Linked DNA regions of Lytechinus pictus. The main gene of each other region encodes a partner of the protein of the gene in region 3 in a complex. Links are inferred from orthologs where the notes say so. Each region holds a gene or a part of one and is shown on either strand. Other genes may lie near its edges.

Region 1 (7,550 bases), on a different chromosome or scaffold from region 3:
TTAAGGGTGCTGATGTGAATTTGAAAAGCAAAAAAAAAAAAATCACTACTAAATGGAAGTCAAATTGGTCCCGAGACCCCCGCTTCGCGGCACCCCCGCTTCCCAGGGCCATGGCCCATTGAGAGCCATAATCAACATTTTTAAAGTAAATGTTCTTACACAAGTGTGCCCCCCCCCCCTTTGAAAGGTATATCTTTAATGGAAATACGCCGTTCATACGGACCGAAGTGAAGACATTTATTTTTATATATTTTTTTATTATTATGTTGCTCTTCAATTTTTTCTCGGGAAAATGTGCCCCCCTTTTGGATAATCCTGGATCCGCCCCTGCTTTATACCTTAAACTGAGATATACAGAGGAACATCTGATTAAAGTTACTACACATGTAGAAGTCATGAAATACTGCTCTAATTTCATGTTAAATCTATAACATAATTATTACGACTTGGTATAATTCCATTCATATAATTTTGCAATTCGTTACTTTATACGCAGGGTGCAGATGGAGTCAATAAGGTATTATCGATCTTACGGTTTGAATTGGACTCTGCTCTGGGCATTTCAGGTCAGTTTTACATTTCGCATTGTTAAGTCATTTAGTATGATGCAGGTTCATGGGGGTATTGTTTTTATATATTTATTCATTAATTTGTGTCATTAAAGAATATATACAATTATATTTTTGTATATAAAAATATACAAAAATGTTTCAGGAAAAAAGGTAAAAGGAAAACAGATTTGGTTGGAAGGCCCACCACTCTATTATCTTCCATGAGGTCCAAATGGAAATCGATCCAAGTGAATCGGTATGTGTGTGTGTGTGTGTGTAGTGTGTGTATGTGTGGAGGTGATGAGAATTTTTGCACACACTGAGAACAGTGGGCGCAGCCCCCTTACCCCCCCCCCAAAAAAAAAAAAAAAAAAAAAAGTGCAGTATTGATACGATTTCAGAGTAGGTCTAGTATGCATGCCATTCCGAAATCACAGAGTTGCAGCTCGGCTGGTCAGCCTACACTCCGGGCCTACACTGTAAAAGCTGTACGATGTATAAGAGGTACAAGATTTTCAAATACGAAGTTTGAGCTAAAAACAGTTTTTTAAATGACAACCGGTAATTACAGTATCATAGTGGGTGTCAAACTAACACCATATTAACCATTGATGTAAAATGCTTAGTGAGGTCCTCAAGTTGTGTGGGTTTAAAACCAAAGCTTGTGCGGTACTAATCAGATGTCTGTGTTTCACATATTGTATTTATTTTATATTTCACAGGTTGCACCAATGTCCAAGACATTCCGTCATCATTGATAGCTCGAAAATCTTACCTCTGAACACTGGCGTACCTAGGATTTTCCAGAAGGGGAGGGGCAAATTTTCTGGAGGATATTTTGTCTGCGAAAAAATTTGACAAGCAAAAAAAAAAGGTCTTCAACCAAAAATAAAGGATTTCTTACCAGAAAAAAAATTTGACAAGCAAAAAAAAAAAAAAAGTCTTCAACCACAACCTGTATCAGTTGTGACTCGTCAGGGGGGCAGGGATACGTCCCCTGCATGAGTTGTGACTCGTCAGGGGGCAGTCTCCCCCTGCCCCCCCCCCCCTTAGGTACGCTAGTGCCTCTGAATGTCTGCCGAACTCGGCCTTCCACGGCTTAAGATCCCGACCACCATCAAGAATATCCTGGAAGAATGAATGATACAAAGCCCTTTAATTACCCATCCGCAGAATCGGAATCATTTAGTCAAGATTATTTGCAATATATATCCTTACTCCTCACACAATATAGGCACATTCTCAGGCAAATACACCCACATTCCAACATCATCGTCTCGCCAACACTCACCCACACAAAAACGCACACACTCATATACACACCGCACACACACACACACACACAAATTATTTAAATTTGTATTTTATTCATTTAATCACGGTTAAAAAGCCTGCTTCCAGCTAAAAGCTGCTTTTTCAACAAGGCCGTGAACAACTGAATGCAAATAAAACAAAAATGAAATTGACTTTACAAAATTGATCAAAGAAAAAAAATAATGCAAAAATAATATTAACAATAGAAAAATTGAAGTAAACAAAATTGAAAAGTTAAAGAAACGAAATAGTATACAAATTAATGTCAAATTCAAAATGAATAAAAGCGAAAATGACGGTAACTTAATACAGTTTGTCGGTCTATGTTTCTGAGAAGATATTCTCTTTATTTAAGTGTGATTCGGCTAAGTAAGTGGGCCTAGATTATTGACTGTGGTAAAAATTGACTGATTGATTGATCAACCTTTAAAATGTGATATACAGCCGTGACGATTATACAGGCTGAAAGGAAACGCTCAAACACACACCTCCACCTATCGTTTGAAGTCGAGTAAAAAGTCAATAAAAAGTAGAGTGCACTCTGACACTACAGTGTCCGCCATCGCGCCGCTTCATTTGGCAAAGGAATAAGAATATACCCTTAGATTTGGATTATTTTTTAATGATACTGATATATATATATATATATATATATATATATATATATATATATATATATATATATATATATATATGTATATATATAAAGGTAAATATATAAATGTAAAGGTAGACGGAAAAGCAATGAATTTTTTGAATGACTGTTTTCTGTTAATAATATTATACCCCTTCATGTGATGTAACAAGTTTGATCATACTGTACATATATATATGTTTGCATATATATATATATATATATATATATATATATATATATATATATATATGTTTGTATATATATATATATATATAGTTATAGTTATAGTTTTATATATATATATAGTTATACATATATATAGTTATATACACATATATATATACATTTATATATATATATATATAAATGTTTATATGATAATGCATCATTTATATAACTGCATTGTATTGTATATGTGTTTAATAGAAATTGGTTTGTAAGAGTGAATCAAAATTATTTGGCCTGCAATCCTGTACACTTTTAATCAATATGTAGGCCTATGCTCTATTTATCAATTTTTTAATGTTGGCTAATCTGAGTACTGAAGTGCTTTTATAGTTCTAATCTGCAAATTGTTTCTAATGACTTTTTACGGTCCTAAATACCGGAATTCTCTCAGCAATGACATTATAAATGCCGCTAGTTTGAATTGTTTTAAATGAAGCTAAAAAAAGAAAAAGCGATCGGTAGCCAGCTTTGTCTTCCTTCCTCCCCTCTTTTTTTTCTCTCTCTTTCTCTCTCCCTTTTTCTCCCTTTCCCCTCTTCCTCTTTTACCGACAACCTAAGCACCACCCTATCCTTTCGGTTTCTTTTCTTTCTTTCATTCTCCTTCCATCAACTCCATATTCCATTTACCAATCATCACATCAACTTTATTTATTCCCACCCCTCCTTCTCGTATGATACTCGTACTGATCTTTTATCCAATTCTTTAAGGGATCCACATTTAACAAGCCCTGCTTTTCAGTTGATACCTCCAATTCCTCAACTTTTATTCTATTAAAAAGTTATATTAAAATAGCCTTGCAGATGTTAAATCGAGATTGTTCTACATTTCGTTTTACCATCATGGTATATATCATATTATGATTATTGTTTATGGCTTACCGAAAACATTTATCTATTTCCCTTGTATTGATATATTGCTTATACATAGTATTCCCTTGTATTGATTTGTATGGATATTATTTCATATTTGTGTAATTTGTTGAGTCGAAATGAAATAAAGGAAACTTGAAGAAAAAGGTATTTGAATACTTCAAAATTATAAGTACTCTTTCCTTCTTGAAATAAATAGGTGAAAACAACATTACTTGCCAAATAGAGCAGAATTTCAGTCTTTTAAAAAACGAATTGCCTCTATTAATGTACATAACGTAATACGGTCCTATATTTTTTTTAAACATATTTTTAATCTGTTGCTGCGCTACAATAATCAATTTTTGCGATTTCTGATATATCTTTTTTTGTGATGAATTCTGTAAACATGCATAAAAACGGTCAGTTTTGAAAATCCAACAAGCGTCTCAATGTGAATCATTTATACACAGTAGGCCTAAGTGGCGTCGGTATACGAGTGGGGTGTGTGACACATTTTTTTTCTAAAATGCTGCCAACAAAGAAAAAAGAAAAAGAGTTGATGAAATGGAGAAAGGTGGCAGAATCGAAGTAACAGATGAAAATATAGAGGAAAAGAAAAAAAATGAAAATAAAAGGCGAAAGACGAAAAAATAGAAGAGATAAAATGAATTATTTTCGTTGCAGCTTTTCTCTCAGTATCTTATAGGATATAGGCCTACTTTCAAAAGTTTAAATTATTGACTTTTCTGTGGTCCTCATTCCTGCCTTAATATTCTCTAAACTGGTCTATTTTTCCTGTATTTTTTCGATATTAATTTAAATAGAAGTTGCCAGCGCTAGCATTTAGCTAAAGATAACGATTAAATTAACTGATTGTATATATAGGCCAAATAAAAATAAGTAAAAATGGAGAAACCGAAACAATTTGCGATTCGGTATTTATTCAATTAAGAGACACCTTACGCTTTAAAAACGAAACAAAATACCAACAACAACGAAAAGGTGTCCGGTCGGGTTAGCGTCGCGAATTCGAAGAAAAATTAAAATTCCCATAATAAACATGGCTGGTGATTATATGAGGCAGAAATTGACGTCGTTTACAGAAGCTGTATTTCCAACTCGAAATGCTGTAAAGCGCCAGCATCATATGCTAAAACCTGGTGAGCACAAGAAATAATTTTTAGAGCGAATTCGTTTATGTAGCCCCATACATTCGATTTGCTGTAGGTCTAGTGATAGATCTGCGGACGGTTTATTAATTTATCAATATCATGAACAATGATCAGTTCGTCTGTATGTAACGAACCTCGCATCACATTTTACTTTTAGTGTATATCAATAATCTAGGCTATATATCTGTCTTGTCTATGCTAACATAAGGTTTGGTCCCCCCAGTCTGTGCATACGTGTATCTGCGCAATTTTTTTAGGGGGATCCAGGGGGCCCGGGCCCCCCCCCCTATTGGCGGAGCAAAAAAAGGGGGAAAGAAAGAAAAAAAAGGGAAGAGAGGAGAATAAAGAAGGGGAAACATAAGAGGAGGAAGACGAGTAAATAAAATAAGATGAGGTGAAGACTTGAAAAATAATTTTTAAAAATATTTCATGTTTTCCTATTATAGGCCTAAATTTTTTGCTGGCGCTTCGTGCTCGTGCTCGCATTGTTTTTTAGGTGATTGACATATCTTGCTTAATATGGAGCTTAAAATATCAAATTTTGAAGTCAATATACAAATCACATTTCAGCTTGGAAAATGAACTTTCATTGTTTTTATTTGATTTACAAATTGATTTTTATAAAGTGCTCTGTAAAAATGTATGTTTTATGGTCTGAATATTAAAATTTTCTGCTCGCGTTGCGTGCTTGCAAATTCGTCAGGTGTACCTATTATTTTCCTGTATTCCATAAAGTTCTCAAACTATCCCTATTCAGGTCAGATAGCCATAACGTATCAGCTAGCGCTGCACGCTCACATTTTGATTGGTGAGTTATGTATTTCTCAATATTAATTCTATAACATATAATTCCCATTTCATGACAGTTTATCAAAAATTTTGGCTCGTGATTTGCGCTCGCATTGATTGTTGAAATATATTAACTCATGCATCTTATTCATAATTACAAAAGTGCATTAAATGTCCAGTTTTCAGGCCATAATATCAACAGATTTCTCACTCTCATTAGGCTTATTAGATTAATGAATAAGATATTGATTGAGTAATCAAATTGTCCCTTTTTTTCAGAATGGAATATCGACAAGTTTCATCTTGTGCTTAGGAAAAGAAATAGGAAGATAGTGATCATTTTCATATGACATAATGTCCTTAGAATGTCCTATATCAAAACTCAAAGTGATAATAATGAAACTTATCAGCTCTTTTTTAACTGTGATCCATATCCACCTCACAATTTTCCTATAAAGTGCTTGAAATACAGAGCTTAAATTGACTCTTTTTCAGATTGGAATATCGCCTTATTGATTTTCATGACAAAAAAGGGTATTTAGAATGCCCAGATTTTAGGCCAAAATCTTCTTCTCTATTTGAATCATTATCCAGTTTCAGATCACAATATCAAAAATTTTCTGCTCGCGCTTTACGCTCGCATTATAGGAAGATTTCCAATTACTCATCCTTTTCATAATTTAAAAAACTTGAATAGAGTGTCCCATTTTTAGGTGTAAATCTCGAATTTTTCCGCTCGTGCTTCAAGCTCGCATCAATTATTTAATTATATACTTATCCTTTTCACGATTACAAAAAGTGTGCTTAGAATTTCCATTCTTCAGGTAGAAATGTCAAAATTTCCAGCTCACGCTTATTTTCAGCTCACATTATTTAATTGTTGAAATATGTAACATCTTCATGGGTAACTGCAAGCAGCTGTTATTAAAAACATGATATTTTATCAGATCAAAAAGGATATTAAAAAATTCTGCTCGCGCTTTGTGCTCGCAGTAATTTAGTTAGATACACATCTCATTTAGGATCACAAACATTGCCCAGAATGTATAAATTTTAGTACAAAATACATAATTTTGAGCAGCCGATCGGGGAAAATGTGGCTGAAAAAAAATCTGCCCCCCCCCATTGGCAAAGGCTGGATCCGCCCCTGATCCAGGAGACACTGTCACTGTCATGAACTAACACTCTAGTCTCTACTCTAACGTTCGACAGAAGTCCGACTCAAGTCAAATTTCAGTTTCAAATCTACTAAAATTTCGCCCAGTCATGTTGTAGGTTCATGGTGCATGCACATGCTACGAGATCATCCTCATAATCATACATCAAATGCGCTAGGCCCTGTACCATTACCGAGCTAGCATCTGTGTAATTTGAATGCGGAATGTCTATCACAGAATTGTGATAACTGATAACCTCTTGTGCTTAGTAGAGTTTCTGTAGATCTACAAGACTACATCAAAAGTTGTTTTGCTGAACTAGGTTCTACATATGTTCATTTGCTCTTGGATGGTAGAAAAAATGTCTGAAATATTAAAATAATTTTTAAGAGTAAGAAAAGTGATTATTCCTGTATTAAGACTGAAAGAATAGCATACGGCGATAACTGTAATTCTGTGTGCTTCTGGAGAGTAAAAATAATTTGCTAATCTTTGTGACATGCAGTGGCGAATCTACAGGGTATGGGGGGTTAAATGCCCCCCCCCCCATAGGCAGGCTGCAAATAAAAAAAAAGGAATGACCTACTTTTTAAGCCAACTACTTTTTTGTGCTTTTCAAATTTTTTGGGATCAAAATGACTTTCATTTTGTAGTAAGTTGTAGTGAAACCCTTTTTGGGGGGCTTGTATTCTTGTCAAGTTTCTCAGTAAAACCATCCTTGGAAAAAGATAGATCTGCCCCTGTACATGTTTATGGACACATAAATAAATGAAATGAAATTGTGGGCATGCTTAGAGATAGATTTAAAAAGTAATTTATAATTTTTGCCCTAAATATCGATAATTTCTGT
Region 2 (7,878 bases), on a different chromosome or scaffold from region 3:
CCAAAATCCAAAATGGCTGCCAAAGCCCCCCAAAATCACAGTTTTGGCCACAACTTTTTTATTTGGTGGTAATTTTCTCTGGTTTTGGTGTCTATTCATATGTTTTTGGGGGCAGGCAATTTGTTTTTCCTATAATTAGTACTTTTAAACCATTATTTGTAGAGTTAAAAGGTAATTTTACCTAAATTTTCCCATTTTTGTAGCCTTTTTTCAGCCAAAAAGTAGGTTTTATCATCCTGGGGTTCTGGGATATTGGATGGTACGAGGTCAACAATAGCAAGCAGCTTCATGTAGCTATATTGCTTTTATTCCTCCACTTTGGGTTTTACTGATATTTGTGAAATACATCTTATCAAATAAAAGAAAATTCATTTATCCATAGGGGCTATACGGTGTACAATCGGCACTGTACATACTACAATGTATATATCCATGCATTGACCACCATGGCATATGACAAGGCCTGTATATAAACTATAGTGTCATAGAAATGAGCTTCAAAGGTTTAGAATTAGATTGTGAATTTGATTCCTTGTCAGCTAGCAACGTAAATTACACTTACATGTAAATATCACATACAATGTATATATACGTACATCACATTTTTATCCATATCTTCTTCATTTTGAGGCTTTTATTTTAACCTGGTTCTGGTGTCTAACTGGACTATGTTTATGGGGTCAGGTAACTACTAGTATCACGGTAACGCTGATCAACAGCCAATCAGAATAAAGGATTGCATGCAAGTTACCATTAAGTTAAGTTAACATAATGGTAAAATTTTATGCAACGGGGCCCAGAATAGCTACAGTGTAAATTACCTCTCTCCGCCCCCTGAATTAGCATATTTGACAAAACATGTCCTCAATTTCTGAGACAAAACAAATCTTCAATTTCTGAGGCATCTAATTCTAAACCTGAGAGCTCATTTCTATGACACTATAGTTTATACAAGCCTTGTTATCTGTCATAGTGGCCAATGCATTTATGCAGTGCAGTATGTATGTACAGTACATTGTACATACTGTATAGCCCCAATGGATAATTGACATTTTTTTATTTAATAAGATATATTTCACAAATATCCATAAAACCCAAAGTGGAGGAATAAAAGCAATATAGCTATATGAAGCTGCTTGCTATTGTTGACCTCGTACCATCTAATATCCCAGAACCCCAGGATGATAAAACCTACTTTTTGGCTGAAAAAAGGCTACAAAAATGGGAAAATTTAGGTATAATTACCTTTTAACTCTACAAATAATGGTTTAAAAGTACTAATTATATGAAAAACAAATTGCCTGCCCCCAAAAACACATAAATAGACACCAAAACGAGAGAAATTGACCACCAAGTAAAAAAGTTGTGGCCAAAACTGTGATTTTGGGGGGTTTTGGCGGCCATTTTGGATTTTGGCCCGGCACACTTTTTTCTCGGACCCGAGACAAAAATTATTGTCATTTCATGTTGAGATACATTACAAGGAATGAAAAAAAACTGTTGTCATATTGAAATTACAAAAAAAGTATTTTTGACCCATGTATAGCCCACTCCTATTATTATTTTATTTTAATTGTTATTATTATCATTATTATTATTTCCTGCTGCAAAACTATAAAACCAATCATATCATTTCTTTGTGATTGAGTATATTGGCACAGCTACACATGTGGGGCAAGGGGAGGGGGGGGTGTACATCCTTTTCATCACAATATTGCTCTTTTAGCTTTAATTTTCTGGTAAAATTTTCAGGAAAATTCAAAACTGGAACTCTCTTTGTCTTACGAGGTATTTTAATGCCACAGAATCAGCACGATTTTGTAAGATTTGGGATGTGGTGCTCCATAGACACACACATAATGACACAGTACACACTATAGGGGCCTGTGGACAAGGGTAGATTCAAGACTCAATAGCGGGAAAGTTTGAAATTAACACTTGTAATTGTCAATGATGAATGAATAAAGTGTTGCAAATGACCTAAATAATACAAAAAATCATGAAATTAGGATACAATAAGTTGCAGAATCGAGATATTATTGATGATTTGAACTATACCCAAAATGTGCAAGAGCACCACCGTAACTCGGGAGGACGTGCGACGCCGGGGAAGAAGGCTTTGTTAAACATTAAACATCATGAGTATTGATGAATTTTATATGTATTGATTCGTTATACATTCCTAAATTCGAAAATCGACACGACTTATTTTCCGAACCATCCCTAAATTAATTATTGTGGCCTAAAGTCACCTTATAATTACGAGCCTGTCTCTTACGATTTTTTTTGTAAAATTTGACGAGCGCCCTCTCGCAACGTAGTGGTGAAATTAACCAAGATGGCGCGACACATATACTTTCCATTGACTGCGTGTAACGTGCACGTACGTGAGGCCTAACTGTTAAAATTTGAGGTGAACTGAAATTTTTTTTTTTTTTGCTTGTCAAATTTTCAAAAATGTGCCCTCCCCCTTTTTGGGGAAAACCTGATCCGCCCCGGCCCTGCTTTCTTATTAGAGCTCAAACAGTAAGGGCATCCTTTCAAATGCCAGTCCTCGTTCCCTGTCGTTTTAAGCCCTAGCCTAGCCGGCCAAGCTTTGCCTTTGTCGGACTCGGAGACGGAGTACGAGTTTGGCCTTCCCGACGTCCGACTGAGCAGAGACACGCAAGCTGGCCGGCTGACCTCGGGAAGCTCCGGGGTAGCGTGCAGTCAATGCCGCCAGCGCACACAGCCACTTTTCGCTTCGAAGTGGAGCAGCCTAACTAAGATTTTCAGCCGCTAAGCACAACGTTAGCGTCTTCACAAACAAAACAATAGGGCATGAGAAATTGAAACCATGTCAAGAGAAATTACCGATTGTTACCAGTTACAAGCAAATCGAAAAAGGTATTCTTGTTTTCTCAGCCGAGCTTGAGACAGCTACTGAGCTAGCGAGACTGGCGCCTTCTTTCATCCATTTTTGTAAAGCGTCCATCACAACGCATTTTGCAACGTAGATGGCAGCATGCAAAGGCGGATTCAGGGGGGTGAAACTCCGCTTCTGCATCCGGTCAGAATTGGGGGAAATTTTGGAGGGTCAAAAGTGCACACTGCTCCCATTTTTCGTATACAAGCCTATGGACACCGCCACTGTCTTGGTACACCAGCGAAATGAAGGCGTGGTCATGGAACGTCCTTCGCGCATAGCGTAAAATATGTAAATTAGTATTTTGTCACTAATTAGCATAATGCGCGACCTGATTTAATATCGTTGGTGTCTGTGATTACATCATGTCAGATCATTCGTTTTTTTCCTCCTCAGAGTTTTATTATTCATCTATTTTAATGATCTTTTTGTTATTGCCTGTTAGATTATTACTGCATCGTTGCTTTGTTTTAGCTGCAAATGGCCAGGGTCTTTGCTAAAAAATATTACAGAGGAGGTTCCCAAAGAAAATGTTGCCATATGCGATGACATCTCTTTATGTTTCTGGAGCCCTTTTTTCTTTTTATTGCAGAAAACGAAATGAACCTTTTTTTCATAATATAAACAAAGATAATAACAAATCAAGTTCTTTTCCATAATTTTAGTCTCCAATATAAGTCCTATTATGAATAGCAGTCCTCGGAGCACTTAATTTTAAATGGCGACTTCTATGTCAAACATCAATAATCATGACCTAGGTATATACCATATTTTAGGGGGGAGGGGGTTCTCAAAATTAAATAGGCAAGAGAGCAAACCAATCGTAGGCTATAGGGTATTTCTTTTTTATTTTCAACTGAAAATGTATCTGGTGTAATTTTCATATGGAAAGAAAAAATACATTTTATATGTATGTTTCAAAAATTTGGAGAAATAATTATAGCCCCCCCCCCCCCCCGTTGCCCGTCATGAACAGTAAGGTCTTATAATTGCTTCTTTCAAAACAAACTGAACTTTCACCCCCCCCCCCATCTCTCTCTCTTTCTGTCTTGTCTCTCTCTCAGAAACTGACATAACTATATGCATACAAGCAAATAATTCTCCTGTCATTTTACTTTCTTTCCCACTCTTATCCTTATTTTTCTTGAATAATATTTTAATTGACTGCTGTTTGATCTCATGTAACAGTGGCATCATCACATTTCAGTACAGTGCAACATCTTGTGCCATTTGTGCATAACAGCTCAGCAGCAATACATCATCACAATTAATTGATAAATGAAAATTACCAAGATAAAAAAATTCAATTCAAAATTAACATGTTTATTAAGGAATGCATTTTCTAAAACATTGACATTAACATAAAAAAAATAATTAGCATCTACCAAGCATTAAATTGTATTTTAAAAAATGAAGGCAATGCATAGCTAAAAAGGGCTGTTACTGGGTAAGGGTAGTATGGGGTGGGTATATAAATGTACAAAAATAGGATTAAGTACATTTTTCTACATTGTACAATGTTTGTTAAAATTTCATTCAAAGGATCTCGATGAGCCTATAGTTAATATTCCATAAAAGAGCATAAAAACCTTTGATATTCGTTTATTTTCTTCCACAAAAGTTTGTCACTCAAAAAAATTGGTAAATTCCTTTCAAATTTGCTGACAAGAAATAGTCTACTGATGTGAGAGCACTCCTCATAAGGGGGGGGGGGGGTGGGACACAATGCCAGAATCCTAAAGAGTGCCTTCCCCAATCAATACATTAGCGAATCATTAACAAAATTTGATTTGTCTACTGTCACTGTGGTTAGAATTCAATCTATTTTTGAAATATAGTCTATTTATATATTATTGCAGTGGTAGCCCATTTCACATAACGATAAATGCAACTTAATAACCCTACATAATTTATGAAGACTTGCAGTGGCGTACCGTGGGTCACGGCATCGGGGGGGCACCAGCAAAAATTTTGAGACCGTTTCATATCTCTTCTTGGCACTTATGTTGTGATACCAGTACTTAAACAGCTTAGGAAGTGGGAAACCTGCATGGTAAAAAAGAGAAAAGAACATAATAAGCTGTAAATTATTTTTACTCATCTAGTCCAGTTTAGTAAAAAAAAGATGTAAACTCTATTTTATATCTTCAGTGATAAAACAAGTTTAGCACATGCAGTCACTTTCGTCCCACATCCAGATAAATTCATATATCAATATAACTATCTACAGTATGTTTTGAAAATAAAGAGTGCAAATTAATTCAAATATTTATCAGAATTTTGTGATAACTGTAATAATATCTTGGGTTTTTTATGCAAATGCATGTATAGACAGGAGATATGGATAATTAGTATGCAGTGTTAGAAATGGAAATACTGGTGAATCTGAATTCAAACAAATATTAACTTACAATGGAACTTTAACATTACATGATATCGCATCATGTTTCAGCACAATTGGCCATAGCCCACCCCCTCCCAAAAAAGGGGAAATATTCTTTTATTTATTTATTTATTTATCTTTTTTTTTGGGGGGGGGGGGTGATGAGCTTGGATACAGCCTGTATATTATCAAAACAGTAAGCATACCTTGCAATTTTTCCATTCAGATATCCTGTTCCTCATTAGATTGTAACTAACACTTGCTGATCGGCATGGTTCCCAATTTTGTACTTCTGACTAGGTGTGAACTGCTAAGAACTTGGTCCCATTGGATCTGCAATTGACAATTTAAATTTGAGAGTTTTAGAGATAATAAAATTACTCTTCTTAAACAATATTTTTGAAATTTCCAGCTGCCCATATCCCAGGTCTATGAATGAATATTCCAAACTAGAACAAAAAATTTATCTGGACCCGAAACTTCATTCTCTATCACATAGAGACATAGGCCTACCTCACTCTGTTTATAAAAGTAAAATGATTCCAACCACATATTTCTACAGCTGTATATAGCTGAATCTGGTCTATGCTGGGCCTGTATAACTTAAGAATCACATCACATTTGAATGAAGTAAACACTAAGAACGTTTTCAAATTACCACCCAAGGCCGGGCCCAGGGTATCCTGTTCAAATAGACTTGATTTAGGTCTAGGGTAGGCTATGCCATTTCATTCAAATCTAAGACTAAGACAAGTGACACTTAACATAACAGACATTAATGCTAAGACAATCGTATTTCAACACTGATTATTCTGAAGTAAAGCGTTCCTGAATAAAAGAAACTGCTGAGAATTATACTTTTTCATATGAAGATGAAATAGAGGGGACGGACTAGGCCTATATAAACTTCAACTTTCAAGCTTGAAGTTTGGGCCTAGTCCGTCCCCGCTATTTTCATACCCCATGACTACATCGACAATCTCGCTAGCCGGCTAGCACCGGCGATATCAAAGGCCGGATCCCGCGCGCTCTGACCATATCCCTACATTGACCTAAATTTGAATAGGCCTAAAATCGACAGTTTGTCGTTACTAAAAAACAGGAGGTCGGAAACAAGTCCACATCTACCCCTGATAATTGTCTAATCACAATAAAACTGAAATAAAGGTTTACTTTGGACCTACATGAAGCATTCCGATGAATGTCTAGATCTACGACAAACTATAGACCCCTAGTCCTAGATATACCGGTAGTATTTTTGATAAACTCAATGATCACACTTATTTGGAAGTCAGCTCAGGCAAAAGAAATATTGAAATTGAGGTTTACATAGTGCGTAATACAGGATGAGCCCCGAACCCCGGCAAACACATTACAATTTGCAAGTGAGATCAAAACATGAAAATGAGCGTAACTTACTTTTATTCCTATGGAATGTCATTAGAATAGTATTGATGTTCCCTCCAAGATTTTCCGCTCCAATGAAGTTCACTCAGAAACCATGATTTCGAACATCAATTCTATAAACAGATAATTAGTCTAGCTATTTCGTTTCAGAAACTTCAAATTTGCAGAGTCCAAAAGAACGACACTTCGCACAGATATCGTAGGGAATTGTGGGACGGAAAAAAATGTTTAATGCATGAGTACATGAATAAAACATTAGCGTTTAATCCAATCATACAAGTGCATTATGCGTATTTTGACGTCATTCTCATGAATAAAACATTGACCCTCCAAAATCATCCTTCAAATTGTCCGCCGGCAGCCATGTTGGCTATGTACAAAACCTATGGGAAATAAAAACGCGCGGAAAGAGTTCCCTCTCTAGCTCCCTTCGGGAGCTTATACGTAAGATCGTATCTCTGTGGGCGGATTCTTCTTCTAGTACGGTACCGGTACTTTGGGCTATCAAGTAAAAACAATGACTATTTTTTGTTACCCGGTTTTGACTTTTGCCACTGCTTTTTTGAGTTTTTTTTTCTTTGCAAGGATGAATAGCTTCTTTCTCCTTCATTATTGTTTTTCTATTCTATATTACTTTCTTTTTTCTTTCGTCTTTTCCTATTCTTTTCTTTTTCTCTTTTTTTCACTATTTTGTTTTCTTTTCATTTTGTCCCCTCTATTTTTTCTTTACTGCTATTTTGCTTTTTATCTTGTCTTTTTTTTCTTTTCTTTGTTTCTTTTTTTCTGTATTTTGTCTCCTTTTTCTTTTTACTTTTCTTTTCTTCTTTTTTCCTTTTCTTTTTTTTTCTCTTCTATTATTTTTCTCTTTTTTCTTGATTCTTTTTTATCTTTCCTTTTCTTTTCTGTCCTTTTTTTGCTTAATCTATGATTTATCTTATTGTAATAAATAATCCTTTTTTGCCTTTGTTTTGAATGCAGGAATTTCTGTCTGTACCTGTCTTCCTTATCTTTCTTTGCTTAAGTTTGTGCCCCTGAAATAGGCACATGCCTACTTTGCCCCCACACAAAGTCAGAATATAGTCCCTGAACATGAGCTGATGCTATAAAAAGCGATTGTGCATGGAACTGAGGCTTTGTATCAATAACACCAATGTGATAAATGGGGTGATAAAATCAAATCAAA
Region 3 (7,194 bases):
ATCTGCATATAAATTATATGCTATACTTTTTTTTTATTCCTCTTTGATTTTATTGACGCTTCGGGATTCAAATATGAAAATGCAGCGAGACCCGCTAATGAGGAAAATTTTTTGTTGTTGAATGAATACACCACAGGGCCGTGGAATGGTTTTGAAAGCGGGAAGGGGGATATGCTTTCGATGCAAAAAAAAATCACAATCGATCAGATGGTCATTTTAAGGTTTTGTACATGGTTTTGGGAAGGGGGGGGGGGGCTGAAGCTCACCCAGCCCCCCCCCCCCCCCACCGGTTCCGCGGCACTTGCACCAACTGAATATTATTTGTGGATTATTTTGTGATCCTTATTAGATTGCTTTACCATATCAGGATATGCAGTGGCGGTGCTTAGGTGTTTTTCATCTTCCACACCCCCACACACACGCACAATTTTTTCAGTTAACGTGTACACAAATGCAAAAAATACCATTATTAAACGGTTTACATTTGTGAACTTCTCCCTCTAAACTTTATGCGTACAGCCTCCCCCTTCTAAACTGTTCCTCATTATATTTTTATACGAGAGAGCAACCTGAGCGACGGTAGCATTCCTTTATCACAAAAAAACAGTGATCAGTAAAAACGTACATATCAAGGGTTTCTGCCCAAAATGGCTTGATTTTGGCACTATTTCGAGTAGAAAACATTCATTGTTCTCCCTTCAAATGAAGAAAGGGATAAAAAAAATATATGATTTTATTCAGTTGCCATCAAGCATATAGGGCCTATATATTAGAGCCCCAAAAACTGAAACTTTCATTTATGCTGTAGTATTTTTGTTTTATTGTACATAGCAAGGGAAACTTGCCAATTTGGAATATTCATGACGATGTGCATATAAATGTTTTTCACAACATATTGATAAATTTTTAAATTCAATAACTTTGTTATTTTGTTATCCGATTTTGATCAAATTTTGTGCATTTTACTTTTTGAATTTTACTTTTTTTATTCAGATATAAATATTTTCAGCCCGGACCATCCCTTTAATTTTTCTTTATTCAGTTCAGTAGCGTAAGGAACAAAGAAATATATTTGAAAAATAGAGGGGCAAAAAGAGTGGATGGGGCCAATATTTGAAAAAAAGATCTCGCAAGTTAGCAAAACGAACGATCTTTCTAGGAAAAACTATGATGTTGTATTAATTTTGACGATATATTAAAAAAATATTATCATAATTCGGTCATTTCCATTTCCTGTTCTTTTTTTATACTAATTTTCTTGGTGATAGAACTTAATGGGGCGCCACGGGCCCTAACCCCCCCCCCCCCCCCCCCCCCCCCCCCATCTGTACGTTCCAGTAATTTATTTCCAATCTCCAAGAGTTTCATTCTTACTTGCCAAAAATTGATCGACCCTGAACTAATTTTCAAAGTTAAACTCCTGCGGGCATGTTATATATATTTCATTTCATTTATTTCCATATCCAACAACAAAAAATCAAGTAACATAGTAGGCCTATTAATCGACCAGTTCGTAGTTACCTCATGGACAATTTTCGGTCAAATGACCTTTCATTTCTTTCATGATGATAGGCAGATTTCAAAGCAAAATATTACGTAAGCTTGCCTTACATAGCAGGATGAAGAAATTGAATAGACCAGGTGACTAGAATAGCACACCAATGAACACTTTATGAAGGTATTTGTACGGTTGCATTCCTACTTTGAATGCATATCATAGCATGTTGCACAATGTACTTGGCAAACTATGAAAACCCCCGGTGAAAACCAGTCGTTCGTGGACGCGTTGTTGTTTTTTGTGGATGTAAATGAAAACCACAATTCAAAAGAATATATGAATAATCAAGACATCAAAGTTGGTGCTTATCTCATTAGATTTTAAACCACCATGTCACTTTAGTACAAATAACCTTCCTCTGATCATGCGTAGAATCTTTTGATCATGCGCAGAAAGGATTAACTACGAACTGGCTTAAGTAAAACAGTGTAAAACATTGAAATTAATATTATGTATATAGGCCTACATAGGCAGGAGTTGGTAACTGGGCTCGTAGATCATTTAGATGCACCGGGAGATTGCAGTCCCTTTAAAATTGTATTTGTCTTCGTGCATAATAGTAGAATGATTATCATGATTATCATGACCAGGGGCCCGTTGCAGAAAGAGTTGCGTTTAAACGCAAGTCAAAAAATCAATCGCAAGTCCCAAATGCGCGCTGTTGATTGGTTGAAAATCAAGTTACGCATGATTTTTAGAGTTGCGATCGATTGCAACTCTTTCTGCAACGGGCCCCAGTATACTCTTGTAATAAAGTAAGTTATTCTGCTTTACCACTGGCAAAGGTGTGTAGGCCTATAGGCCTGAGTACACATGGGGGTTATAGTTCCATGACCCCCTCCCCCATACAAAAATAAGATAGAGAAAGGGAAAGAAAATGAGACCCAATACATGAAGTTTCGGATTTATATATTTTTTTCATATTATTTCGTCAAAATCTGTCACAAAATTATATCTTTTAATAAAAAAAAGAAGCCATACTTTATAGCTCACATTCAAAACAAATAGTTTGCCACGCAGGGTATACGATACTGCCTCTGAAAATTGTTGGTTTATTAAACATAAAGTGGGACTTGTTTATTTGGTGCCCGATCGACCCTATACTTTATTTCAAAACAGGCCTAAATGAGCCCCCACGGCAATTACACATTATGGTATGATTCAGAGGCGTCGATCCTGGGGGGCAGGGGGGCGATCGCCCCACCAATAAAAATATTTGGGGGGCAAACATATCGTTTTGCCCCCCAATAATTCCGCATGTGCAAAACATAAAATAAGATTGTAATGTTACACAGATATCAGCAAGCAAGATTGAGATACACAACTATTTCTTTATTTAAAAATCATGCTCAAATTGTCCGCTTTTCCGATTGGAATATAAAAAAATTTCAGCTCGCGCTTTGCGCTCGCATCATTTCTGTAGCAAAAACCCATACTTTTCATTATTAAATAGATGAATAGAACGTCCCGTTTTTAGTTCTAAACCTCAAAATAACTCCCGCTTCGATTTGCAATAATCTTTTTTTGGATATATGTCTTGTTCTTTATTTAAAACGTCCATTAAAGTAAAAAAAATTCAGATCAAAATATCAAAATTTTCAGCTCGCGCTTCGCGCTCGCATCTATTGTTTTTTAAGATACCCATCATAATCATTGGTACCAAGCAAGAAATTTCTACTCGCGCTTCGCGCTCGCATTAATTTGTTGGTGAGAAATGTGTCTCTATCTCAGTCATGAGTCATTATATATATACACACACACACACACACATATATATATACATAATATTTGTGTGTGAGTGTGTATACACACTCACACACACACACATACATATATATATATATATATATATATATAGGCATGTGTGTGTGTGAGTTTTTTTGTTTTGTGTGATCGAGCGCCTTTGGAAAGTTGATTCATGATTTTGCCCCCCCCCCCAATCTGAAAAAGGGATCGACGCCCCTGGTATGATTAACTGCCGTCGAAGACCCCATGCATACCTTACTGATTTTCATGATGCCCCGCATTGCGCACAACAACAAAAAACGAGAAAAAAAAAAGAATTGAGCTCATTCAAAGAATGGAGGCGCCGAATTTTCAAATACACCAGTAATATACAGTTGGCCGAATCAGGGGTGGATCCAGGATTTTCCAAAGGGGGGGGGGCACATTTTCCAGAGGAAAAAAATTGACAAGCAAAAAAAAAAGGTATTTAACCAAAAATTAAGGACAAAGTTACATTTTGCCCACGAAAAAGTTTGAAAAGCATAAAAAAAAAAAAAAAAAAAATTCACTTTAAAAACTTATGTTTTAACGGCATTTCTACATTAAAAAAATTAATTTTGCCTCTCAAGCCCCCCCCCCCCCTACGGGCCGCTAGTGGGAGTAATTGTAATTTTTCAAAAAGAAGAAAATAAAATCGTAAAGATACACATGCACAAATTAAGAATTGATATTTTTTTATTTTTTATTATCATTATAAGTTTGCAGCCAAGGAATCAATAGGTCAATATTCTTCCGGCTGGTGGTGTGTTTTATTATTTTATTATTATCATTATTATTATTATTTGTTGTTGAGGGGCGTAAATGAACCCCCCGGCCCCGCCCCCAACGCTGATATTATTATTCATAACCACAGACAAGATGGCGGGGTTGCCAGCAGACGCCAAAATAGTTTTGATTCTCTTCTGCGCTGCGGTACAGATTTTTCCTTCAACTGCTCAGACAACACCCACAGGTATTCAACAAAGCACAAACAACCCAGTATCAACAGCAACCACCCAAAATGCCCAAACAACACAGACTCAGCAACAAACAACGACTAATCCGCCGACTTTGCCTTCAACAGAGGTGCCCGCGAATACAGGTAAAGAGTACGTAGATGATATGCGTGGTCCCATATATTGACATTTGTGTGTTTCAGTTAACCAAAGTGCGCATGAAGCCATGTAGACAATTCTTTAGTGTTAAAAAAGGGGGAAGTTCACCCTGACGAAAGTAAAAATAAGCAGAATTTTAAGTCTAATAATAATTTAAAAAATATTGGTGAAGTCAAGTGAAGGTTTGAGAAAAAAAGATTAAGAAAGTTTACAATAATACAAGTCCAAGACAAGTACAAGTTGACAACTTCATTTTTTTTATTTTTGATGTAAAAAAAACAAGCAGCTGCCCCATAACTTATCACATAAAATGCAGAAAATTTCATTTTTTTAATGGTTCATGATGACTTATGATGGGGTGACCGTATTTAGTGCACATATTGGTTTTCTTGACAATTCCAAGACACCTAGATTAGATTATATACCCTTAAAAAACGTCCAATACCTCAAAAGAACAAGAATATCTTATCTCACATTTCATGGCTTGGAATTCAAACTTCAGATTAAAATCAATGTAATTTCAAGAAATTTGTAACGCCTACCGACTTCATAGTCTGCTCTGCTCACATGTGTGACCTAAGTTTGTTGCCCTTTTGTGGTCGACAACAAGTGTCAAAACGCTCGATAACCACCTCGTATTGTCCAGCACATACCAGCCATTTGAGTAAAGTTCGAAATAGGCAATACTATTATTTTTTATTGATATTTTTCCAGGTTGAGAATAGGCTTGTGCAATATCATGGATAATAATCCTCTGTATACACATCAATGACCGTCTTATCAATAGATTGCTCGTTGCTGAAAATTTTAGGATTGGGAGGAGGTAGGCGCCGGGCAAGGGCCAAATGATTGATTTTAAAATTCAAAGACATTTTTCTCAAAATCATGCCAAAAATTTACTTCTCATTTCCATCATATTCAATTTCACCATGCAAATCATTTTGTTATTATTTTTTTTTACTTGCTTTTAAGATTATATATTTAGGCCTTCATTATAAGTAAAAGCTATTTTTTCACAAAAGGCGTGCCCCCACAATCATCACCACTGTCACTACATTTATCATCCCATTTTCATCATCATTACCACAATTTCCATTGTATAATATGACTACAGGATCTATTCATTATATCATTATCAACATTTCTCACAAAAAATTCACATCATTGTCAACTTCTTTCGGGGCAAAATCATTAGACCCCCCGCCACCCATTCTTATTGTTTTGTTTATTGGGGAATGAAATTTATTAAGGGAGAATGAACATGTTCTCTTATCAGCACACTTAATTCATGGCCACATGAACACAGCAAAGGAGAATGAAGAAAAGACACTAAGTTATCATTTGTATATTCAACTGAATTTCTTGTTTTCATTTTCTTTTTTCATTTTCCATTTACAAATCTCCTTTTTTTTTTCAGAAATAAAAATTGTTTACATATTCATATATTCACATATTTTACATATTAACATATATATATATATATTTACATATTTATATATTCATATATTTACATATTTGCATATTCACATAATTACTTATTCATATATTTATATTCATACATATCAACATATATTTCATTGTTCCGTCTCACAAGGGAACCTGAAAAAAAAAAAAATGTGTTGCCAATTTGAACTTGTCCGGCCCAACCAGTGTTTGCAGGAGTCACATTCTGCCCAGTTAATGACAGTGCCCATGTCAGAGGCTGATGGTGGATCGTCCAAATGGCACTGGCAACAACGTTCGTCATCATCTGATCTATCCTCAGAAATGCGAGTCTGGGTCGTCTGCTCGATGGTGGAAGAACGGTAGATCTGCAGGAAGATTCTGTTTCCATGATGGCTACCCCTCTGACTATTCTTTGAAGGTGGAGAAGGCTTCTTGGTCACTAACGATGCCTCCATAGAGCTTGTTGATGGGGGATGAACCGGATGAGGGGTGTTGGCATTGGTGATTGCACTTGGTCTCATCGTCCTCTCGATCTCTACTGCTTCGGGGTCAAATGGGCAGATTCCAGACTTCCTAAATGCTGCCTTGAGGTTGTCCTCTCTCATCGCCTGTAGGTATGCGTGACTGATTAGGCTTGTCATGTCAAATCTAGAGATTGACCTTCCAGGATGCTTGGAGAGGAAATCTGTGCACTGACTGTTGAATTGTGCCTTCATCGGATCGAAGCAGCCGACGTCGAGAGGCTGGAGAATGTGACTTGTGTGAGGGGGAAGAAGGAAGAGTATCACGTTGTGCTTCTGGGCTTCTATGAGGGGAACAGTTATGTGGCTTTTGTGTCCATCATACAGTAGGAGAACTTGTTGCTCAGCTTCCCGGTCTGGCAAGGATCGGATTAAATGCTTGCTCAGGAACCGACTGAAGACATCACCATTACTCCACCCACTGTCCGTCATCTTGAACCTGCTGCCTGGTAATGATTCCCAAGTCAGCTCTGCCATCAAGTTCTTCCCTTTAAATACAATATAGGGTGGCAATGACGATCTGTCAGCTGATCCTCAGGCAAGGAGTGTTATGGTTGCTGAGCGACAGGAAACGATTGAAGGCGACCTCAATGGTGAATGCTCCTGGTTGAATCCTGTTTCATCAACTTTGTATATGAACCTAGGTTTGTCCTTTAGGTCATACTTTATCAGGATCTTGTCCAGTTCTTGGTAGTATCAGGCAATCCTCTCCGGTGTTGTGGATATTGCCGTAGTGATAGCCAACAACCTTGGGCGGATGACTTGGAGAGCTGGCCATCTCCTCATGAAC
Region 4 (7,319 bases), on a different chromosome or scaffold from region 3:
TGTGAAAAATCATCATTGGTTAATTTTCACTAAAAACCTCCAAACATCTCAATTTAAACATTACCTATAATCTAATCAAATATAATCCCATCTAATCCAATCCAATTATAATATTCTCAACAGACACAGCAGCTCAATGACCATCCCCTCCTGGCTGTGACGATTTCATAGTTGAAATTAGGCAAAAATTGTTAAAATAATTATATTTTATGAAAGAATAAATCCATGAAAGCGATAGAACTTTCATTATAAGTTTTGATTATATTATTACACATTTTTAAAGATTCCAATGTGAGAATGTCATTCCAATTAATATGATTACATTATAAAAGATTTGCCAAATCTCTTTGAAGATATGCTCCCTTTTCAAACAATACCTTCAACCTGCTCTTTGGTGAGTGCAGGTTCGGGTTCAGCTGATTTCTTCTTGCGTCGCTGATGAGGAGAGTATGACATGTCATCCATTCGACTACCGCGCCGGTTATATGCACCATCTCCAGGGTGGCTGCTCCCTCGCCTGCCGGAAGCTGGACCCCTTCCGTAGTCAACAGTACTCTGGCGTCGACCTCCCGAGCCAGTCTCCGGTAGCACGCTACCTCTTCGGAGGTACCCGTCGCCCATGGTGCTGCCTCGCCTTCCACCAGTTGCTACGCTTCCACGACGACTTTGCTGAGGAAAAAGAATATCATGATATAAATCTATTTTCCTATTAATTCATGATATCTATCTGGTTAAAATTAAGATCCAGGATTGACCAGAGAGGCGGGGGGGGGGGGGGGGGGCAGGTCCATAACTTTTTCTTCATTTTCACAAAATAATAATAATAAAAAACATCACTAGGCAATAATTGCCTCCTCTTGGCGCCAGGGTCAGGGAAAGAGCCCCCTCCTCCAAACTTCGAAGGCCTACACACTAGCTTGTATTATCTATTAAAAAAAAAACACCAAATATTCCATTAGTCCTTGAGCGGGGGGGGGGGGGGCATCTGGATCAGCCTCTGTCTCCAGATAGTATATTATGTAATACTCTCAGGGAAGTAAAAACACAATTTTTTTGATATAAGGAAAAACCCATCTATTATTCATTCATCTATTTATTATTCTATCATCATCGTCATCATGATCATCATCTTCTTCTTCTTCACAATCACATTGCCATCAATATTCATTTGGAGAAGCTGTAGACCAAAAGTAATATTAACAGGGTGATATCTGGTGCCTGGCTGGCTTAAAAAAAATGGACACCATGAAATTATTTTTGTTCATTTTACATACCCCACTTGACGGTATGGTACTCTTGCTTCTTCTTTCCTGATCTTCAGATTTAGTTCGAAATCTATCGGAGCTACTCGCTTTTGGTATAGCCCCAATACTCTCCCTGCTGTTCTTGGTACTGTAATTGTTATTCTTCAACGACTCCATGTCACTGCGGTGGACATATATCGCCCCTCTTCTACTTACATCCGACATGATTTTTGTTTATTTTACCTAATTATGAACAAAACAAATATTTACAAAAATTTGGTCTACTGTTACTGAATAGTGCTTTTTTTGCTATTTCCAGAAAGCCGAAACCAGCCGTACGTTTTAGTTGCTCGTCATTTTACATCGAGTCGACTTTTCTGTTCGCTGTCTACGTACCGGTACTCGTGTGCATGTGTCATGTGGATTTGTTTATGTCTGACGTCACCGTGGGAAAGTTTACTCGAGACATCCCGTGACCCGACCTATATTACGTTTTGGTGATGTCATAATGGATAAACCAAAGGATCAACAATAATGACAACCGCGCAAGACGATGGGTTCAGGCTGGGTTCTGGGCGTATTCTGAAAACCGTGTTATCTGCGTGTTATCTCATTTCGTGTTATCTTCGGCTCCTCCCACTCTACATCTATTTAATCCAATCAAATGCGCTGTTAAAGAAACAAATCGCGCAAAATTTTCAGGGAAAAGGGAACGTGCGCACGGTGATACGAAGCCTGCATTGTGACATCATTCTGTAAGCGCATACAGCTACTAGTAAATAAAAGTTAGAGCTAGAAAGAGACGTGGGGAGGGGTACGTGATTGTGACAATTAAGAACTGAATTGAATTTATTTTCATACTTCACAAGATAACAAAATAATAACATAATACAAGAAATTGATTATTTCAGACAGCATGGATACGAAATTATAACAGGAGACAGAGGCCTCGATCGATTGTGGAGCGGGCAGGGGACGATCGCCCTAAGATATGGGGGCAAGCATAATTTATACATGCCCCCAATAATTTTGAGAACTTGAAAAAATAAAAATGCAAATTTTGAAAAGCATGAAAAGCACTTTAAGAAAAATTAAATCTGACATAGAAATATCAAACACAAAATTGTATTTTTTTCTATATTATAATTTGATGCGTAGAGCGATCAGCCATGCAAAAAAAAAACACTTTTGACCGCCCCCTCCCCCCATCCGAAGCATATAGATTGACTGGCGTGATAGATAGATTGAGAATAACCTAGAAGCATTGAGAGTTAAAAAAAATTATTGGAGCTATATAATCATTGAAAAAGGGTTTTTAAAAATGTGAATATTATAGAAGTTTCCCCAATTGCTAATTCCATTCTTTTTAATTTTTGTTTGTGCTTTTCTTTTAGACGTTTGTAATTTTCTTCCTCTTTTTGTCTTTTTTATATCATGGCAAAAAGTAACCAAATAAATAACTCATGATCATATATGATAATGATTTTAATTAGTCCAAATCAAAGATGCATTTAAATTGTATTTTCATAGGAAATTCCAAAGAAATTGTTGTTTAATCATTGTTAGTAGAGACTAAAGGTAAATGGAAAAAAGAAAGAAAATTACAGTAAATCCTGCCAAACGATAGTTATTTGCCCGTTTATGTTCTTCTTGACGTTTGCGTCTGCTAGAAAAAGTGCAGCCATCGTCATCCCCAACTTAACCTCTCCTTAACGCAGTGTTAAATTTTCGTGTTATCTTTGAACAAAATTTTAGCTAACACCATTTTCAGAATACCAAATTTCGTGTTATCTTCCTCCCTAACACCGCGTATGGGGGTTGCGCGTTGCGCACTGCGTATTTCATGACCTGCGCGGTGTTACCACTTGGGCCACGTGTTTTTCATGCTAACACGATTTTCAGAATACCAATCGTGTTAGCTAACACCACACCGTTTTTGTGCTAACACGGTTTTCAGAATACCGCCCCAGTTCACCCCCGCCCGCACCCCACCCCACCCTTCACCTGCGCTGCGCGCTCATAAAACTCACGTGTCGGATGGACACGTGATATAATACAGGCCCCGCCCTTTTCATGATCGTATTACACATTTTGCACGAGACATGGCAGCATGCAGCATGAACAGTCGCATATTGGATGTGTGGGCCTAAAATAAAACAAATTACTAGTATATGACAATTTTTAGTTTATATTTTTTTTTCTTCACAAAACTCTTGGTCAATGCATACGATCCTGTTGGGATCATGTATGCTATGAGAATAACGGAATCGATCGTTCTGTTTTTGTTGTTGTTGTATTTTGTTATAAGCATTGATCAAAATGTTAAAATTTTACAGATTTGATGATTAAAAAAACCCACTCCGAATTATGACTAAACAAGGTCCGTGAGTATTAAAACAAACCATTATTTACATTTTAGAAGGATAATGTAAAAATTCTTTTTCAGGTATTCATGCAAATAATACAAATAATAATAAATATAAAATGAAAATATAGTGAATGTGTGACGAAAGGTTGTGCATTCCCACTTGCATATCGCCATTGATGTGCATTTCATTCTGTTTTCTGCTAATAAGCGAAAACCATGTCGTACTTTCAATTTTACATAAAATTTCAATTAATTTTTGTTTGCATTATTTTTATTTTTCCTTCATTAATTCTTATTGACATTGTTTTATTTCTACCAATGATGGTAACCTGTTGTGTAGGGCAACCGATATTAGATAACTAGGTGAGAGTGAGACTCCCATAGGCGAATTATATAATTTTAGGGTAAAATCTAGTGAGATACTGAGATTGATAGAAATGCATGCAAAATTTAGAGTGAGACTGAAAAGGGACCAAAATGAGTGAGAGTCACTCTCTGAGTGAGAGTTTGCAGCCCTGTGTTTTCATATCATTTATATCATTGAATGTTATTCATTGTAAATGCATGAAATGATTATTTGGGTGTATTTTGTGTTGGAAGTTAAATTGAAACTGAATTTGAATAATAGATAAATTATACCGGTAGGCCTATTCGTAGGTTTGGGTGGCAGTGCAGTAGAAAAAAAAATCCGCACTATTCTCGTGTCGTCCACAAGAGGGCAGCACTGAAAAATTCCTTTCGAAATGGCTGCCGCTGTCTTGGTAAGTTTCCAATAAATTAAAAATGCTTGTATCGAAAATTACTGAATAACTTAGCAAGAATTTGACAAATAACCAATTCGGTATACTTTCAGCTGTAAGCGGGTAAATATTTATTTGCATTTGGTGTTATATTTGTAGATAAAAAGGGCTTCTACAACTTGAGTGACTGAGTGAGTGTGACGGTTGAATTGACGGTTTGTTGAAATTGGGCACCGTCCTTGGAGCTGGTCGCGTCGGGAGTGGCTGGCGCGACCTGGCCGCTGTGGAGACGGCTACTCCGGCTAACTCCAGTGACAGTCCACGCTCCGCGACTCCAGCTCCGAGACCACGATCGGCATTGACCACGTGGTTCATTGATGTAGGCCTACAGTGCAACCGTTACCTGCCACCTCGTCTCATTTTACTTTTGATACATTATTTGGAGTAGATCTACCACCTACATGATGTATTGACCTAATGTAAATGCCTTTTTTGTTTGGACTTTGCCTTGGCTGCCTTTAAAAGGCTTTATTCCTGGAAATTGAGGGTCTAGCTTAAAAAAGTATAGACCGTCGATACGATACTCGATAGTGTCTTTTTTACTAGTGAGTCTATACTTAGTAAAATTTACTCATGTAGGCCTAGGTCTGAACTAGTTGTAACACTAGTACTATCCTACTACTACTACTAGTAACAGGTAACTAACAGTAACATACCTAGTCTATTCTAGATTTTTAGAGTAACGTTAGATCTAAGTCTATTGAAAATGTTTGAGAAATCAAATATTTTGTCTGTTTTTACTTTAATTTTATATTTTTAATTTAGAGTGAAGTTCAGATTTCATGTTTATTTTTAGAGCAGCGGCCAATTCACATCATGAACATTGCCAGGGAGATGTGCCAGCGGGGGCTTAAATTGATGTTAATACCACCTTCTTTCTACGTATAATAAATTTAAAGGCACGGCCATAGCGCTCTCTCGAGAATGTGCACAAAATTTGTATAGGCTCGTTGGTTCGCTTGTCAATGCGTTGATGCCAATATCGTGGCATACGGCTAATGTTAACCCTTTGCGTGCGACGGGCTTCCACAGAAGCCCAGCGAGTCATTCACTTAGCTACGACGGGCTTCTACAGAAGCCGAGAAATGTTTGGTTTAATTCAATTAAGTTTTTCAGCTTTTTCGTAATTGTTATGTACTAAAACCTCTGCCACTATTTCCTTCATAAACCTATTTCGATAACAGATTGAAAAAAATATACAGCTACGTGGGGAAAAATCCCGAAAATAGGAAATCATTTCAACTTTACCCGATTTTTTCGTTGGAGTCGGACGGGGAGGATAAATTTTGTGACGAGCACGTACGCGCGCGCATAAGGCCTGATCACGTGATTTGTTCTGATCACATGATTTGATCCATATCGTTGTTCTGGTAGAGCATCTTGGTTTTCCACGTATTGGCAATAATAATAATAAGACATCAGAAATGCGAAACAAATTCACGAGTAATGCAGTTTTTACAGTGCCAACATTAAGTTCTTTTATTCTGATAGATATACGCTAACATCTTTTCTGCAAGATCGTCACGTAATAAGCTACGCGTTTCTTCACCATTTTCGTCTTATTTGTTTCATCAAGAAGATATCACTCTAGATAGAATGATATCTCCTTGGTTTCATCGATCGATTGCATTTTCAGAAAAGCAAAAAGCTTGTAATGTCTTAGTACTTTGAGCTGATCTCGGTGCACTTTTGAACTTTTTCCCTCCCAATCATCCCTCTTCTTCTCATTATTTTTGTCTACTATTCTGAAAAAAGGAGAAAAGAAGGCAGCTTAGCACACCATTCATCTTCTGCTCTTTTCAAAAGGGGAACGTCCATGTAGTTCATGATATCGGCACTACCCGAACAAAAGAATGTCTGGGCGGCCACTCAAACAAATTCCTTTCGAAAAGAGCAGGATACAAATGGTCAACGCCCCGAACAAAAGGAAGATTAGTGTTTATCGGCAGGATGACCCATTGAACGCTTTTCGTACTTAGCAATACAAAAAGCTTTTATGAATCATTTTTTTCGACCAACATACCGTATCTAAAAAAAAAATGTCTCATTACCGACAACACAGGTGCTTATGACATCCGTCAGTAATTCTTATTGCAAAAAGGCGCTTCCCCTGGGTGATGATGCATATAAGGATGAACGAATAATTATTTAGGGAAATTATCGAAAAAATATGTTCAAATGTCAGGGAGGACGAGAGAGAATGAGAGACAGAGATAAAAGGGGGAACAGACAAGTGCGCTTTTGCTAAAATTCTATGAATATCTACTTAAACGAATTACAACATGACTTTATTTTTTGGTTAGATTACTTTTAAAAAATCCCACAATGTTTGTTTCTTGCAACTCGGTCATCAGACCCTTCCCAAACTTATGACTTTTTATTATTGTTCTTGTTTGACCCCCCTCCCCTGATGGAAATGTTCTGACCTACACTCTAATATTGCTTGTTTGTCTCCTGTCTCCGATTTTCTGTTTTTAATTGCGAGTAACGCGGTAGAAAAGATAAGAATAAAGACCGTCCTGGACCCCTTTCCCCCCCCGTTACGACCAAAAAAAAAAAATCGCATTTGGGGCGCTTACCATGGTTAGCATCTAAACCATTTTGGTTTAGATGGTTTGGAAAAAGAAGGGACAGCAATGTTTTTTATGGTGCAGGTGTTGAGCTGTGGGACGGGGATGAAGCGGCTAAAAAATACAATTTGTTAATTCATGTCATTTTACAGAATGAATTTATAATAGGTTAGGTTTTAGAAGCTCTTCATCTTATTTCCTTTTCTCACCCAGATTAAAACTTTTGCATTAAAAAGTTGACGGAAACATAATTACTTCAAATGATAAAACCAATAATGAACTAAAAGTTTCCTCGCGCGAAATGGAGGAAATAGAATGATACAGGATGATAAATAAC

What was found.
Region 1: tectonic-1-like (region 3) and transmembrane protein 17-like share a complex: the UniProt entries of both Homo sapiens proteins name them as parts of the tectonic-like complex. The link is inferred for Lytechinus pictus from reciprocal best matches to the Homo sapiens genes TCTN1 and TMEM17.
Region 2: tectonic-1-like (region 3) and centrosomal protein of 290 kDa-like share a complex: the UniProt entries of both Homo sapiens proteins name them as parts of the tectonic-like complex. The link is inferred for Lytechinus pictus from reciprocal best matches to the Homo sapiens genes TCTN1 and CEP290.
Region 4: tectonic-1-like (region 3) and transmembrane protein 237-like share a complex: the UniProt entries of both Homo sapiens proteins name them as parts of the tectonic-like complex. The link is inferred for Lytechinus pictus from reciprocal best matches to the Homo sapiens genes TCTN1 and TMEM237.

Annotation. Positions count from the first base shown.
Region 1 is NC_087246.1:15,644,045-15,651,594, forward strand, and holds the start of transmembrane protein 17-like, read left to right. Parts: upstream 1-4,545; 5' UTR 4,546-4,642; coding exon 4,643-4,742; intron 4,743-7,550. Other genes in the region: 2-Hydroxyacid oxidase 1-like, read left to right, coding at 497-566, 1,274-1,332. UniProt on the Homo sapiens protein: Transmembrane component of the tectonic-like complex, a complex localized at the transition zone of primary cilia and acting as a barrier that prevents diffusion of transmembrane proteins between the cilia and plasma membranes.
Region 2 is NC_087263.1:11,081,182-11,089,059, forward strand, and holds the start of centrosomal protein of 290 kDa-like, read right to left. Parts: upstream 3,002-7,878; 5' UTR 2,854-3,001; intron 1-2,853. UniProt on the Homo sapiens protein: Involved in early and late steps in cilia formation. Its association with CCP110 is required for inhibition of primary cilia formation by CCP110.
Region 3 is NC_087250.1:19,610,208-19,617,401, reverse strand, and holds the start of tectonic-1-like, read left to right. Parts: upstream 1-4,173; 5' UTR 4,174-4,201; coding exon 4,202-4,424; intron 4,425-4,541; exon of another isoform or gene 4,542-4,546; intron 4,547-6,103; exon of another isoform or gene 6,104-6,892; intron 6,893-6,970; exon of another isoform or gene 6,971-7,194. UniProt on the Homo sapiens protein: Component of the tectonic-like complex, a complex localized at the transition zone of primary cilia and acting as a barrier that prevents diffusion of transmembrane proteins between the cilia and plasma membranes.
Region 4 is NC_087245.1:17,041,643-17,048,961, reverse strand, and holds the start of transmembrane protein 237-like, read left to right. Parts: upstream 1-4,302; 5' UTR 4,303-4,355; coding exon 4,356-4,373; intron 4,374-7,319. Other genes in the region: uncharacterized protein LOC129264684, read right to left, coding at 378-669, 1,275-1,469. UniProt on the Homo sapiens protein: Component of the transition zone in primary cilia. Required for ciliogenesis.